Linked DNA regions of Ovis aries. The protein of the gene in region 1 purifies or fractionates together with the protein of each later gene. This does not show direct contact. Links are inferred from orthologs where the notes say so. Each region holds a gene or a part of one and is shown on either strand. Other genes may lie near its edges.

Evidence for each region.
Region 2: the proteins of PTEN (region 1) and OTUD3 purify together in Homo sapiens (affinity purification with western blotting; 3 studies listed by BioGRID and IntAct, with this or other methods). This does not show direct contact. The link is inferred for Ovis aries from reciprocal best matches to the Homo sapiens genes PTEN and OTUD3.

Annotation. Positions count from the first base shown.
Region 1 is NC_056075.1:9,327,371-9,334,724, forward strand, and holds part of PTEN (phosphatidylinositol 3,4,5-trisphosphate 3-phosphatase and dual-specificity protein phosphatase PTEN), read left to right. Parts: intron 1-4,767; coding exon 4,768-4,934; intron 4,935-7,298; coding exon 7,299-7,354. UniProt on the Homo sapiens protein: Dual-specificity protein phosphatase, dephosphorylating tyrosine-, serine- and threonine-phosphorylated proteins.
Region 2 is NC_056055.1:246,524,874-246,532,850, forward strand, and holds the start of OTUD3 (OTU domain-containing protein 3), read right to left. Parts: upstream 5,149-7,977; 5' UTR 5,006-5,148; coding exon 4,785-5,005; intron 4,771-4,784; exon of another isoform or gene 4,492-4,770; intron 1-4,491.

The DNA of each region.
Region 1 (7,354 bases):
CTTTAGATCTGAGTTCCAGTGCTAAAGAGGCTTCCCAAATGGCTCAGTAGTAAAGAATCACCTACCAGTACAGGAGACGTGGATTTGATCCATGGGTGCCCTCGAGCGTGATTGCTTTGGAGGAGGAAATGGCAAGTCTTTCCAGTATTCTTGCCCAGCAAATCCCATAGACAGAGGAGCCTGTCAGGCTGCAGTCAGTCCCTGGGGTCACAGAGTTGGACATGACTAAGTGACTGAGACCCGTGAGTCTCCCTCCAGTGCTAGAGTTGTCATTAATGTGCTGTGTAACCAAGGGCACATCATCTACCGCACCTCTTTGTCTTTATCAATAATACGAGGATATTCTGAAATCTGAAACTTCCTAGAAAAGTGCTTAAAGAAGATCATGTCATTGATGTCTGCCTTTCTCTCTCATCCTGACTTCTGTAAGCCTACCTCAGGTCTCCTGGTCCTTTTCTGCTTCTCTCCTATTCTTTGCCAGAGTTCTTAAGCTAGACTGATAGGAACCTTAAAACCTTGACCCTGAGCAGGCGGTCACGAGAGAACATGTGGAAGTGTTAATACAGCCCTGGAAAAGAACAGACTGTGCTGCTTTTTTCTGTTACAGAGTCTTTTGTATTAGTTTCTGTCTTGGAAGTGATTAGTCGTATTTTCATGTTTGTGTCTGTGTGTGCTCAGTTCTTTCTGACTCTTTGTGACGCCATGGACTGTAGCCCGCCAGGCTCCTCTGTCTATGGGATTTTCCTGGCAAGAATACTGGAGTGGGTTGCCATTTCCTGTTGCATTTCATGTTTAAGAACTGTGTTTTGTTTATTTAGAATACAGTTTTATAGTTTCTAGGTAAGATGTAACTGTGTTATTTTTCTAATACCTCTAACAGTATTTCATTGATACTTTGCAATTTGTTGGTGGTTTTATTTTTTAGCCTAAAGTTTTCTTCTTACAGTATTTATGTAACTTAAAAGCCTTGTGATGCTGAATTAATTTATACCTAGGGAGTTAATTTCTTTATGTTGTTTATGTTGTCAGGTGTGATCACCTTCATTAGATCTTTCCTGTATTCTTAGGGCAAGTTAATTTTATTTATCAAAGACCTTAACATAGCACGTGGAAGACTTCAAAGAGACCTCATTGATGTTTTTGTCATCTCAGTACAATTTTAAAAACTGCTGAGTACAAGGTACTATGCTGTCAAGAGGTGATTGACATACGAACTTAGATTTATAGCAGAGAAGGGAAAGGGGAAAAAAAAAAAACGCAAAAAAACTCATGTTCTTCCTGTAGTGTTAGATATCAGTGTAAGAGCCAAATGGCAAGGTACAAAATATTACAGAAATACACATTTAGTTCAGTAATTTTATCTACTCTACTTTATTTTTCCATATTGGTCTCTCTAGCAAACGTCTGTCAGTTCTTCTCTGCAGTTGTGCTCTCCCTTTAAACCATGTGTGTTGTGTGTGTCTGTGTATATTGGACCTCTTAGTATTATATTTAAACTTTGCAAGTTACTACTGAGATCTGTTTAATCTTTACCAATTTTCTAGTTCTTTGTTTACATACTATGATTCAATACTGTCTAGTAAAGCTGTAATATATAACTAAATGTGTGGTTATACGTGTAAATTACAAATAGTATATTCAGAAAAATCAAGTTGGGGGGAGTTGTCAAATACTTTTGTGAAGGAAGTCCAGCTCTTTATTGAACATTGGAGAAAGCATGCAATTTAGATTGGCCTTTAAACTAAAGAAAATTACAGGCAGTAGGAAATAGCTTGAATTGAAGCACAGCAGAAGGAAATGAGCTGGACAAGAATATAGAGATGGAGAACAGAATAGGAATACAATGTGTGGCTGATTGTTAGAAGACTCCGAACAGGCATGTTGGACTTGATTTGATACATGCTGTGTTGTCAGTGATCGTAGCAGAGGCGTAAGCTGTAGTTAGGTACAGTTTTGTAGAAAGTAGTGACTGCATGAGGGAAGGAAAAACAGTGGAAAATTAAACAGTTGAATTACATGACTTTCTTTAAGCCAGGTATGCTTTGCTGGGGCAGTCAAATGATTAGTTTTTCTTTTGCCATTTATATCTAAATATTTTACTCTGGTCAGGTGAATAAGTCACAGAAAAGGGAAGAAAGAAAAAGGAATCTGAGACTTGGAGACATGAATGTTGATATTTTGGTTTTAAACATATGTTTTAAATCAGGTAAAGGTGAGCTGTTTACATGAACATATTCAATTGGTACTTGAAAGTATGGATTTGAACTTATATGAAAGATATGTCATACTGTTGGAAGCATCAGGAACGAGACATGGTAGTTAAACCTTTCATATAAATTTGATATAGGGCTAGAATATGGAATCAGTCCTGGGTGTTCTTTGGAAGGACTGATGCTAAAAGCTGGAACTCCAGTACTTTGGCCACCTCATGTGAAGAGTTGACTCATTGGAAAAGACTCTGATGCTGGGAGGGACTGGGGGACAGGAGGAGAAGGGGACAACAGAGGATGAGATGGCTGGATGGCATCACTGACTTGATGGATGTGAGTCTGAGTGAACTCCGGGAGTTGGTGATGGACAGGGAGGCCTGGCGTGCTGCGATTCATGGGGTCGCAAAGAGTCGGACACGACTGAGCAACTGAACTGAGCTGAGAATGTGGGAAGGCTCAGACAGAAACGGTGTGAGGGCTGAGACAAACAGGATCCATAATGGTTTCGGTTTAGGAGGAGGAAGAGGAATCAGTGAAGAAAACAAAACGTGGAAATAAAGTATCTTCTGCAAAGTTGCCAGGAGTTAACAACCTTTTTCTTTTTTGATTATTGTCTTAATATTTCTGAATTTAAAAAAAGTTACTATCTTCTATATATCTAAAAGGGTTAAAAAAGTTAATAAAAGATGATCACTGATTTTTCTCTCATAATATAAAATTCTAAGTTTTATTTCATTTCTGTTTTATTAGAGCACCGTTTGTCCTATCAAAGACATATATATATATCAGTCGTGTCTTAGTCAAAAGAACCATACTGATGTTGGACTTCTGTTAAGTGTGGTCTTACCTATCTAAAATGTGAAATTCATACTGTAAAGAAAATTGTCTTCTTTAGGGATGTGAGGGAATGTTTTTCGCTTACTAAAACTTGAGCCTAGTTTTTTGAGGAAATGTCTAAGTAACACTAACTTCTAATGAGAATATTTATACAGCTCGGAAATTCTTGAAGGTGCACATTTTAGACGTAGGTTAATTAAGATCTGTTAATTCAGATTTCACAGTGAGTTTGCTTTTTAAACTCCTAAGATTAAGATGATCAGATTCTGAATTAGTGGAGTTTGAATGAATATGATTACAAGGCATTTTCATCCTGTTTGGTTTTTATCACAGTTTTAAAATCATACTTTGTTCGCTTCTTCAAGCTGGACTTCTCAGTGAAATTTTCAGTATCAAATTAAGTCTTGTAAAATAGCGCATTGTACTTTGAATCTTTAGTCAAGGAAGTGAAGATTATTGATAGGTTGTTAGTGTAACATTTCTCTTTTTAGAGTTCCTTTTTCTCATCAGTGTCTCTCAAATCCATATTGCAGTAAACACTCATACTTTTTATCGCTTACTATTTATTTATTATGTGATTGATGATACTGCATTAAATATTGTATAGATGAGCCAGTAGGTGTTTATTGTACTGGAATATTTATTTAGCTTGAATAAGCTTTTTGCCTTGTCCAGAGCTTCGGTCACATTGATAAAGAATGTGATACATTTTTCCCCCCATATTTAAGAATGATGTCTTTTGGTGATGAGAACTTTATGTCTATATATTTATATATTTCTCATTCACTTTATGCAAGCTTATGTTTTTATTTCGTAATTATCTTGGTATGTTTTGAAAATTTAAAAACCCATTTCTTCCCCCCTCAGTTTAATTACTTTCTTTCTTAACTGCTAGGATCTTAGTGTCCGTGACTGGAAGCCAAATTCTGTCATCAGTGTCATTAGCATAAATGTATTTATGAGTCGATTTAAAAAATAAAACACATAAGCCTTTCTTTTCACACTTAGCTGCCTTTTAATTGCATTGCTAATATAAACATGATATATTTTGAGCTTATTTTATTTTTATTATTATTATTATTTTTTACCATATATTTTAAAACAGACATGGACCAAAGTCAAAATACTTGTTAATGAAAATGGAATGTGTTTCAAAGAGAGGGAGATTGTGCTATAATTTGTACTTGATGTCTGTTGCATTTCTTTGCAAACGCTTCAAATCTCTTTCCTCCTGTTTCTTGTGGTGGTGGCTTTATATACCTTTAAAAATAAAATATGAATTATAGGTAAAATGAAATATGGTTAATATTTTTATAATTATTGAAACTTGTGTTTATGGAATGTACTATAACTTTGTTATAGGTTATATTTTCTTCTGAATGTGTAAGGATTGGTATTTTGTGGTTTTTATTCTGTTTTACAGACTTTAAAATACTGCAGCAAATACCTGTTTTAAAAGTTCCTTTTAATATTACCTCATATTGATGGTACAAATTAGGGAAAATCTGGTATTGATTATATTTTGCTGTAGTTTATTTCCACTGATTTATTTCTATCTATGTATCTCTGTTATTTTGTAACCATTGATTTGTTTTAGTTGGGGCATTAAAGATGCAAAATTACTACTTTGTGTCTGCTGCTAATACTAATCATCAAAATAGCTTTTGACAGTTAAAAACATTTCCTGTGAAGTGATACTAGTATGTATTTGACCATGCAGATCCTCAGTTTGTGGTCTGCCAGCTAAAGGTGAAGATATATTCCTCCAATTCAGGACCCACACGACGGGAAGACAAGTTCATGTACTTTGAGTTCCCTCAGCCGCTGCCTGTGTGTGGTGACATCAAAGTAGAGTTCTTCCACAAACAGAACAAGATGCTAAAAAAGGTTTGCTCTTTACTTTTGTTGGGAAAAATATCCAAAATAGCCATACCTTGAATAGTAACCTCAGATCTTTTGCTTAAAGCATTTAGTTGGGCAGAAATCATTCTGAAAGGAGAGACTAAAAGATGTGTTTTCTGTCTGACATCTAATAAATCATGAATAGTTTTCTACTAAATCTGCACATGCTTTGCTTACTATGGCATCAGTCAGCCGTTATAGTGGTACATAGCCCTAGCAGAAGGAAAAGGCCATCTGACTTTGTAATTTGAGATGAATTTTTCTTAACTTGGCTTATGCAAATAAACTCTATAAAAGTATTGAAGATTGCATATGTACCCCATTCAATCGGCTACAGTCCTGTTAGAAGAGACGATTGATTAAACTGAGAAGTAAGCATGGGGCACGAGTTTGAAAAAACATTTTGGTCTGTTTGTATAAATAAAATCTGTTTCCCCCATTTTGGTTAATGCTTGTTGAGACTGGGTCATTTTATATTTAGCTTCCTCAGATTTACTGAGGAAGTAAATTTATTTCAATTTTCAGCTAGGCGAGGAATAAATATGAAGAGGAAGTAATAAAGAATGAAAAAATGTGGTATTTAAATATACACGTTTAGAAAGTTAGTGAGGTTTGCATCTCACTGAGCTATGTTTAGAGAATATAGGAGCTCATTTTAAAACAAACAGTCTTGGTTTAAAATACTAAGTGTGAACGTTTAAGGTGAGCCTAAGGTACAAAATATTTAGGTAGTAATGAGCAGAAACAGTAGCTGTGTGTATTGTTACTGCCTCCTAAACATACCAGGTAGTAGTGTATCACTAATTTTTAGACAGTCTCCATAGTCAGACTGATTTCATTTTCCTGAATTTTAGCTTTTTGTTGTTGTTGTTGAGAGAAAATGAGGAGGCTTCATTAACTGCAAGAATTTTGACTTCTATTTTGCTTATCAGAAGAAATATATTTTTTTTATCCAGAATCCAAGTAGCTGGAAAATCACAAGATGTAAAACTGATTTTTTTTCACCAGAAACCCATTTCCTATGTGTACTATATAAATAAAAGTTAAGTATATCTCCATAACTTTGAAAATATATTTTTCAATAATCCAAGAGGTATTAATAATTGTTTTGCAGTTAAGGTAAATTTTTTCTTTTATTCATCATAAGACTAGCACACATAAAAATTTTATATTTTGCTTTTAAAAATAAACACCTGTATCACTTTTTCTATACTTCTAGGACTGCACTAATTCTTATTCTTCCAATTTACATTAACACATGTAAAATTGAAGGTTAAGTTAAATATTTATAATACTTTGTTATCTTGAATTACCTTATTTATTTTCATTTTATGTGATTTTCCTTGCATGTTGCAAGAGTTTGGTTTGTTTTAAACAAAGCAGTTTTTCTATAATTAGTGCATTAGCACAATCCACAGTTTTTGAAGTTTTAAATTTTGCTAGTTTATTTTCTTCGGACTCTTAAGTATGTGTGTAGTTACTAACTCAGTAACTTTTCTAAAATAATTGAAATTAATAAAACAGTTTTAACAGATTTCTACCACATTATTGCTGTGCTAGGTGCTGTTAAAAGATACAAAAACATTTAAGAGATAAGTTTCTTAAGGTTCTTACCATCTTCCCAGGAAAATAAACTTGAAGATAAATTAGAATAAAAGATTTAAATGGCAGTTTAAGGTACCAGATAAGATGTCACAGGGTTGTACATCATTAATTGTCAAATGATGTATACAGGCCAGTTCCACTAATCTAGAGAGAGAACAGTTTCTACGTTGATCAGGAAAGGTTTGAAGTAGTGAATTTCTGATGTGATTTTTTTTTTTTTATTTACAAGACCTCATTATTAGTAAGAAGTGATTTTTTTTTTAGGCAGGCATTTTGTAACAACGAAAAGTTGAAGTTCATAACACCCTTCAGTGCTTCATTGGAAAGTTGAACTGACATTTCAAGAGCTTTTGTTAAAGTAAATTTTGTAATAGCTTGTTGAAACACAGAGGAAATTAAATCCATTTCTGAATTTTTTTAGCATATAATATAAACTCAACACTTTAAAAAACTAACATTAGACTAGAAAAGGTATTTTACTTAAGGTATTAAAGTAAGTTTATTTTAGCACTTGTGGAAATACATTTTTGGTCTAGATTAGAATTAAAGGAAACTTCCTATGGGAATTAGATGCTATAGATAGATAACCCATAGATTGTCCAGTATTAGTTTTTGTGTTTACCTTTGTTCAGAATATTAAATAGTACATGGCATGATTTGTTCACTTCCTAGGACAAATGTTGAATAAATTAGCATTGTCTTTAAAAAAAAAAAATTCAAATATGCCTTTTTTTTTTTTTAAAGGACAAAATGTTTCACTTTTGGGTAAACACATTCTTCATACCAGGACCAGAGGAAAC
Region 2 (7,977 bases), on another chromosome or scaffold:
TCTTATCAGACCAGAATGGAAAGTCAGAAGAGTGGAGACTTGATTATTTTTTCATTACCTAACTTCATATTTCACCAAGAGTACTCAAGAAATATCAACAAACAAAATAATCCACTGATATCTACTAACCCGTAACAAACAGGAAGCACCATCCACTGCACAGTGATAAAGCCTGTCTTCACCATATCCAAAAGTGACACAATACTACAGAGGACTAACAGCCCACCGCATGGCACCCATGGGAAGAACTTGTGAACGGAAAGGGGTTCGCTTCATGCAGCCCACAGAGGAGGAATTACCATTACCATTTGACCTAACACTGTCCAAAGAACAGGGATGTCAGAAGGGAGTGACATAAGCACTGCAGTCAAGCTGGCCTCCAGCCTTGTCAGACTCAACAATTTGCAGATCTCTCAAAAATAAAGTGCTCCTGTGCCTTTACACATTTTACCCCTCAGTCCGGAATGCTCTCTTAGCGTATTTTTATTGGCCCTTCATGGCCCAGTCTGAGAATGACCTTCTCTGAGAGGCACCTAGCACAGAGTAGGTTTCGATGAACATGTGCTGAATGAACGCGGTTTCCCTGGCCACTTCAGGGAGTGTTGGCCGCTTTCTTCTCAATAGTATGCTATAATCAGTCACTGTAAAGAATCTATCAACTTGTACTTTAAGTATTTATACCATTCACTCTTAAAGCATGACCCAGTTTGGGAAGGGAGGGTGTCTCTGAGACCTTTTCAGAGTTCTGACTCCGAAACTAATGTTAGTTATCCTTTTCACTCTAATTCTCTCACAAGTGTACAATGGAGTTTTCTAGAGGCTACTTGATATACGATATCTGTTATCACTCTGAAAGCTAATATAACGTTTGCGTACCATGTTTTTACTTTACTTTACTTTCTCATATAGTAAACATTGATAACCATAATCCACATAAGCCAAAGCTCTTTGGAGCCCTCATTCATTTTTAAGAGGGTAAAGGGATCCTAAGACCAGAATGTGTGAGACCTGCTGTCCTGTTTCTTTCTTACTAGGCAATGTATTCCCAGCACCTTCCTCAACCAATGTTTCCTGAATTAACTAAAGAAATACGCTCTCTTCAGGGGCAGGGGAGCAGAAGTAGCACTCCCGAAGTCCCCACGGCATTATGAGAACTAGCTCAAGACTTCACAGCTCCCTGCGCTGCAATTCCTGCTCACAAGCAACCTTCTGTTGAGTATGTCAGTTTCCTGGACACACTGACAGTGGGAATACCAACCCCAGTATAGCAGACAGAAGCAATCCAATCATCTGCAAGGAAGAACCAGACACCAGCTCAGACCCACCAAATTCAACTGATACTTCGGTTTATAAACCAATGTCTTGTGCTTATGAGTGGCTAATGCCCAGAATATTTAATAAACTATATTCGACAAAAATCAAGTATTAGGCTAAAATCAAGACCCAGCAAAGCAACCTTTGAACTGTAGCGACTCCACTAAGAAAACACCTCTTTGAGGGGCCCTGCTAAGGGCCTAGCTAGCCTTCCTCTATGATATTCTTATCATCATTTATTCAACAAAAATGCACTGAATGCCTTTAATGTACCAGGCACTGTGTTAGGTGGTGGCGAACAAATTGCAATCAAGCTCTAAATCCAATCTGCCTAAAACACTGCACATATGTAGGAAAACTGGGAAAGGTAAATCAAGGCCAGGTCATACACAGTCTTGATTAATAAGGTGCAACATAATGGAAACCAAACAACATTTTCTTGCCCCTCTTCCACAGTTAAGGCTAAGGCAATTCTGTGTGGTCTTCAGCTTCATCTTATTCTTGCCTCTTTGCCTAGCTGAGCCCCCAAATGAAGGAAGAAACAATAGCCAGGCTGTTATTAATACTGCCTCTTCCACAGTGCCACACTCTTGCAACCAGACTCCCTTTTACCTACCCCCACAATGGGGATGCTAACTGATCTCCTCACCTCTCCCTACCCTTTTTATTCTTTCCTCCACACTCCTGGATCCATATCCCTCTTCCTGGGGTCATTTTTCCTTCCCATCATCCACTCTCTCTCTTCTACTATCCCAAGTGTTTACCCCGTGTTCTTTCAAAAAGCTAGACCTACAAAGCTGGACTTAGATTTCTGTCTAAACCCCCCAAGCAATGCTAGGTAAGCGCCACTGCTTACAGAGGAGAAACTGAAGTCCATGCAAGGAAGAATTAAAGAGAAACTGCCTTCAACTTAGCAAACGACAGGCCCTCTCAGGCCTAATTTCCTGAGTGTGGCAGGAGGGCAATACCCAACAGTAAGGGATCAAAGGAGTCCAAGCATCCTGTCAAGTGGGGCTTACACCTCCTTGCGCCTGTCTGACTGCTCTTCATATGGCCCTGCTCTCTGACTGACTGGCTCCATCTCATTTCCTCAGGTCTTGGCTTAAAGTCACCTTTTTTTGGGGGCGGGGGGCGACTGGCTCCATCTCATCCCCTCAGGTCTTGGCTTAAAGTCACCTTTTTTTTTGGGGGGGGGGGTCCGGCTCCATCTCATCCCCTCAGGTCTTGGCTTAAAGTCACCTTTTTTTGGGGGGGGGGCGGGACTGGCTCCATCTCATCCCCTCAGGTCTTGGCTTAAAGTCACCTTTTTTGGGGGGCGGGGGGCGACTGGCTCCATCTCATTCCCTCAGGTCTTGGCTTAAAGTCACCTTTTTTTGGGGGGGGGCGGGGCCGGCTCCATCTCATTCCCTCAGGTCTTGGCTTAAAGTCACCTTTTTTAGGGGGGGGGCGACTGGCTCCATCTCATCCCCTCAGGTCTCGGCTTAAAGTCACCTTTTTTTTGCTGGGGGGGGGGGCGGCTCCATTTCATTCCCTCAGGTCTTGGCTTAAAGTCACCTTTTTGGGGGGGGGGGCGGCCCGCTCCATCTCATCCCCTCAGGTCTTGGCTTAAAGTCACCTTTTTTGGGGGGGGGCGGGACTGGCTCCATCTCATTCCCTCAGGTCTTGGCTTAAAGTCACCTTTTTTGGGGGGGGCGGGACTGGCTCCATCTCATTCCCTCAGGTCTTGGCTTAAAGTCACCTTTTTTTGGGGGGGGGCGACTGGCTCCATCTCATCCCCTCAGGTCTTGGCTTAAAGTCACCTTTTTTGGGGGGGGGCGACTGGCTCCATCTCATTCCCTCAGGTCTTGGCTTAAAGTCACCTTTTTTTAGGGGGGGGACGGCTCCATCTCATCCCCTCAGGTCTCGGCTTAAAGTCACCTTTTTTTTGCTGGGGGGGGGGCGGCTCCATTTCATTCCCTCAGGTCTTGGCTTAAAGTCACCTTTTTGGGGGGAGGCCGGCTCCATCTCATCCCCTCAGGTCTTGGCTTAAAGTCACCTTTTTTTGGGGGGGGGGCGGCTCCATCTCATCCCCTCAGGTCTTGGCTTAAAGTCACCTTTTTTGGGGGGGGGGGGGCGACTGGCTCCATCTCATTCCCTCAGGTCTTGGCTTAAAGTCACTTTTTTGGGGGGGGCGGGACTGGCTCCATCTCATCCCCTCAGGTCTTGGCTTAAAGTCACCTTTTTTGGGGGGGGGCGGGACTGGCTCCATCTCATCCCCTCAGGTCTTGGCTTAAAGTCACCTTTTTTGGGGGGGGGCGACTGGCTCCATCTCATCCCCTCAGGTCTTGGCTTAAAGTCACCTTTTTTGGGGGGGGGCGACTGGCTCCATCTCATTCCCTCAGGTCTTGGCTTAAAGTCACCTTTTTTTTGGGGGGGGCGGCTCCATCTCATCCCCTCAGGTCTCGGCTTAAAGTCACCTTTTTTTTGCTGGGGGGGGGCGGCTCCATTTCATTCCCTCAGGTCTTGGCTTAAAGTCACCTTTTTGGGGGGAGGCCGGCTCCATCTCATCCCCTCAGGTCTTGGCTTAAAGTCACCTTTTTGGGGGGGGGGGGCGGCCGGCTCCATCTCATCCCCTCAGGTCTTGGCTTAAAGTCACCTTTTTGGGGGGCGGGGGGCGACTGGCTCCATCTCATTCCCTCAGGTCTTGGCTTAAAGTCACTTTTTTGGGGGGGGCGGGACTGGCTCCATCTCATCCCCTCAGGTCTTGGCTTAAAGTCACCTTTTTTTGGGGGGGGGCGGGACTGGCTCCATCTCATCCCCTCAGGTCTTGGCTTAAAGTCACCTTTTTTGGGGGGGGGCGACTGGCTCCATCTCATCCCCTCAGGTCTTGGCTTAAAGTCACCTTTTTGGGGGGGGGGCGACTGGCTCCATCTCATCCCCTCAGGTCTTGGCTTAAAGTCACCTTTTTTTTGGGGGGGGCGGCTCCATCTCATCCCCTCAGGTCTCGGCTTAAAGTCACCTTTTTTTTGCTGGGGGGGGGCGGCTCCATTTCATTCCCTCAGGTCTTGGCTTAAAGTCACCTTTTTGGGGGGAGGCCGGCTCCATCTCATCCCCTCAGGTCTTGGCTTAAAGTCACCTTTTTTGGGGGGGGGCGGGACTGGCTCCATCTCATCCCCTCAGGTCTTGGCTTAAAGTCACCTTTTTTTGGGGGGGGCCCGACTGGCCCCGTCTCATCCCCTCAGGTCTCGGCTTGAGAGTCACCCTATTTTTGCCCGGGGAGGAGGTGCTTCCGGGGCACCGATCTCGGGGAGACCTTCTGTCGGGACCCCCGACAGTTCGCCAGCACGAGGGCCACGGGGGAGGCCGCGCGCGTCTCGAGGGGGGGCGCCGGCGGCTCGCGGCCCCGCGCTCCGCCGGCGCAGGGAGACGGCCGCCAAGCCCCGGCGCGAACCGCGGCGCCGCCCGCCCCCGCGCTCCCGGGCGCGCCTCACCCGTCCCCCGGCACCTCCCGCAGCTTCAGCCCCAGGGCCTGCAGCTGGTTGGCGAAGCTGACGAACTCCTCCTCGCAGCCCCCGCCGCCGCCGGACTCCGGCCGGTTCCGCCGCTCCCTGGCCAGGGCCCGGCGCGCCGCCCGCTCGTCCCGCTTGCGCTCGGCCTCGGCTTTGCGGCTGCCGCTGCCCGGCCGGCCCTTGGCGGCCTGCTTCCGGGACATGGCCTCGGCCCCCGCGGCCCGCAGCCGCAGGAGGAAGAGCCGCAGGACCGCCCGGGCGGCCGCCTCAGGGGCCGAAGGAGGCGAAGCGGCGCGGGCTACGGAGCCCGGCGACGGCGACGCGACCACCGCGCCTGCGCCGGCCTGAGGGCGGGCGGCGGGGGGGCGGGGGGAGGGGCGCCTCGGTCACGTGGCGGGACCCCGCCCCCCTCGGCCTGGCCGGGCTGACGAGCGCCACAGAGAGCTCGTCGGGGAGAGCTAGAGGGGCAGCCGTGTCGTTTGCGCCGCTCCTCCCCCTAGCGGTGAGCGGTCCTGCCAACTGCGGCGCCGCTAGGACCGGAGGGAACAGAACAGGGAAAGATTCCAAAGCCGCTGAGGAGTTGCTCAGCCGTGTCCTACTCTTCGCGACTTCATGGACTGTAGTCTACCCGGCTCCTCCGTCCGTGGGATTCTCCAGGCAAGAGTACTGGAGTGGGTTGCCATTCCTTTCTCCAGGGGGATCTTCCCAACCCAGAGAGGGAACCTGGTTCTCCCACATTGCAGGCTGATTCTTTACTATCTTAAAGCTGAATGCCGAAAAATTGATGCTTTTGAGCTGTGGTGTTGGAGAAGACTCTTGAGAGTCCCGTGGACTGCAAGGAGATCCAACCAGTCCATCCTAAAGGAGATCAGTCCTGGGTGTTCATTGAAAGGGCTGATGTTGAAGCTGAACTCCAATACTTTGGCCACCTGATGGGAAAAACTGACTCATTTGAAAAGACGCTGATGCTGGGAAAGATCGAAGGAGGGAGGAGAAGGGGACTACAGAGGATGAGATGGTTGGATGGCATCACCGACTCAATGGACATGAGTTTGCCTAAACTCTGGGATTTGGTGATGGACAAGGAGGCCTGGCGTGCTGCAGTCCATGGGGTCCCAAAGAGTTGGACACGACTGAGCGACTGAACTCTTTGCTATCTGAGCCACCAGGGAAGCCTGATGGCTCAGCCCACACCCTTTATTTAATCCTGCCCTTCTCTCCTTCTCTGCCTTCTCTCATAACTCAGAGAGAAGTAGCCCTTGTCCAGAACCACTAGCTCCTCTAATAATCTGGATTCCACCCTAACACCACCAACCTAGGTTTGCCTGAACCAAGGGTTTTCATTGGACACAGGACTTTCGATTTTAAAACGGGGACAGCACCAGGCAAACCAAAGTAGCTGGGTAATCCTAATCCACATCTGCTGCTGCTGCTGCTGCTGCTGCTGCTGCTGCTGCTGCTGCTGCTGCTGCTGCTAAGTCGCTTCAGTCGTGTCCGACTCTGTGCAACCCCATAGACAGCAGCCCACCAGGCTCCCCCATCCCTGGGATTCTCCAGGCAAGAACACTGGAGTGGGTTGCCATTTCCTTCTCCAATGCATGAAAGTGAAAAGTGAAAGTGAAGTCACTCAGTCATGTCCAACTCTTAGTGACACCATAGACTACAGCCTACCAGGCTCCTCCATCCATGGGATTTTCCAAGCTCCCCTAAAAGCTAATTCCATCAGTAATCACCTCTCCCCTGCAGAACCTCTCTTCTGCCTCATTCTGGGCCCTCTTTCTTAACACTCTCTCCCCCCTGCAGAACCCCTCTTCTGCCTCGTTCCGGGCTCTCTTTCTTAACGCTGTCTCTTCCCACAGGTGTTGCCATGGTGTTGCCTACCTCTTGACCCTCCAAACAGCCTCTTTCACCATTTCTGGAAATGTTCCTAAAGTTTCTGGCCTTAATCATTTTATTTTCGCACTCTGCCTACAAGTTCCCCTTTGGGAATAGCCTCCGTTTCCTCAGTTTCAACTAGCGTATTTATCTTCAGCTCTTGTGTTAGATGCAGGTATAGCAATGAATCAAAGAGGCGCGGCTGTTGTCCTCAAGGAGCCCAGATTCCAGTGAGATATATAGGCAAGGATACAGCAGTTTCCATGCTGCATGACATATGTTATCAAGAGTGCAAAAAGTGGAGTGAAAAATGCAAAAAGTTTTCCCAGAAGAGCTGCGTTCTGGGCTGAAGCTCAGAGGATCAGTAGGACTTGGCCAGACTAAGACGGTTAAAAGAGAGAGGATTGTGTGTCCAACACCAGAGCTCTATTTTGAGGAACTGAGGGAAGTTCAGTTTGACCAAGGAGCCCAGAACTTGAGTTATGAGATAGGAAATGAAAGGAAGGGTCCGTTCTGAGCCCAGTCTTGCAGGCTAGAGGAAAGGGTTTAGTCCAAGACCTTAGAGCCGTGGGGAGACGCTGAAGCATCTTCATCCAGAACTGACATGAGTGGGCTTACCTTTAAAATACATCTTTGGCTTTAGTTAGGAGAATGTGTTGAAGGTAGGATGCCAGGCAGAAAGTTCCTGTGGCTGCGCAAAGACAGGTGGTGGTGATGCGATGCTGAGCCTGGGATGGAGAGAAAGAGGAGTGGTAGCCTGGGAAGACGGATTCACGTGCTGGGAAAAGCTCGTGAAACAGAGTGGGACTGAACTGTTGCGGAATGTTTCACATGCTTCTCTGAAGTTCCTGAAATTGCTCCTCTACGGATCCCCCTTTCATTCTCAGAGAGAACGTGAATTATGCCTGGCCCTGTCTTTAATTGCAACAGACATTCCAAGGCCTGCAGCAACCCCTCTGCTTACATTTAGTTAAGTTGGGAGGCAGTGCTAGGAGTTGGAAACCCCTGGACAGGATGGTAGAGACCCAGATTGTGGTCCAAGTCTATCACTGACTCACTCCATGATCGTGGGTGAGTTGCTTAACATTTTCCTCACCTATAAAATGGGAGTAACAGTGAAGACCACATACAATCATAATGATAGTAATGATAAACTTTTATAGTGTTTACCATATATAAGGCATTATTCTATTGCTTTCCAAATAGTACCTTATTTAATCATTACAACAACCCAGTGAAATGTGGGGGGGGTTTTTTGAAACTGGACTTTTTTAAAAAATTGTATTGGAGTATAGCTAAT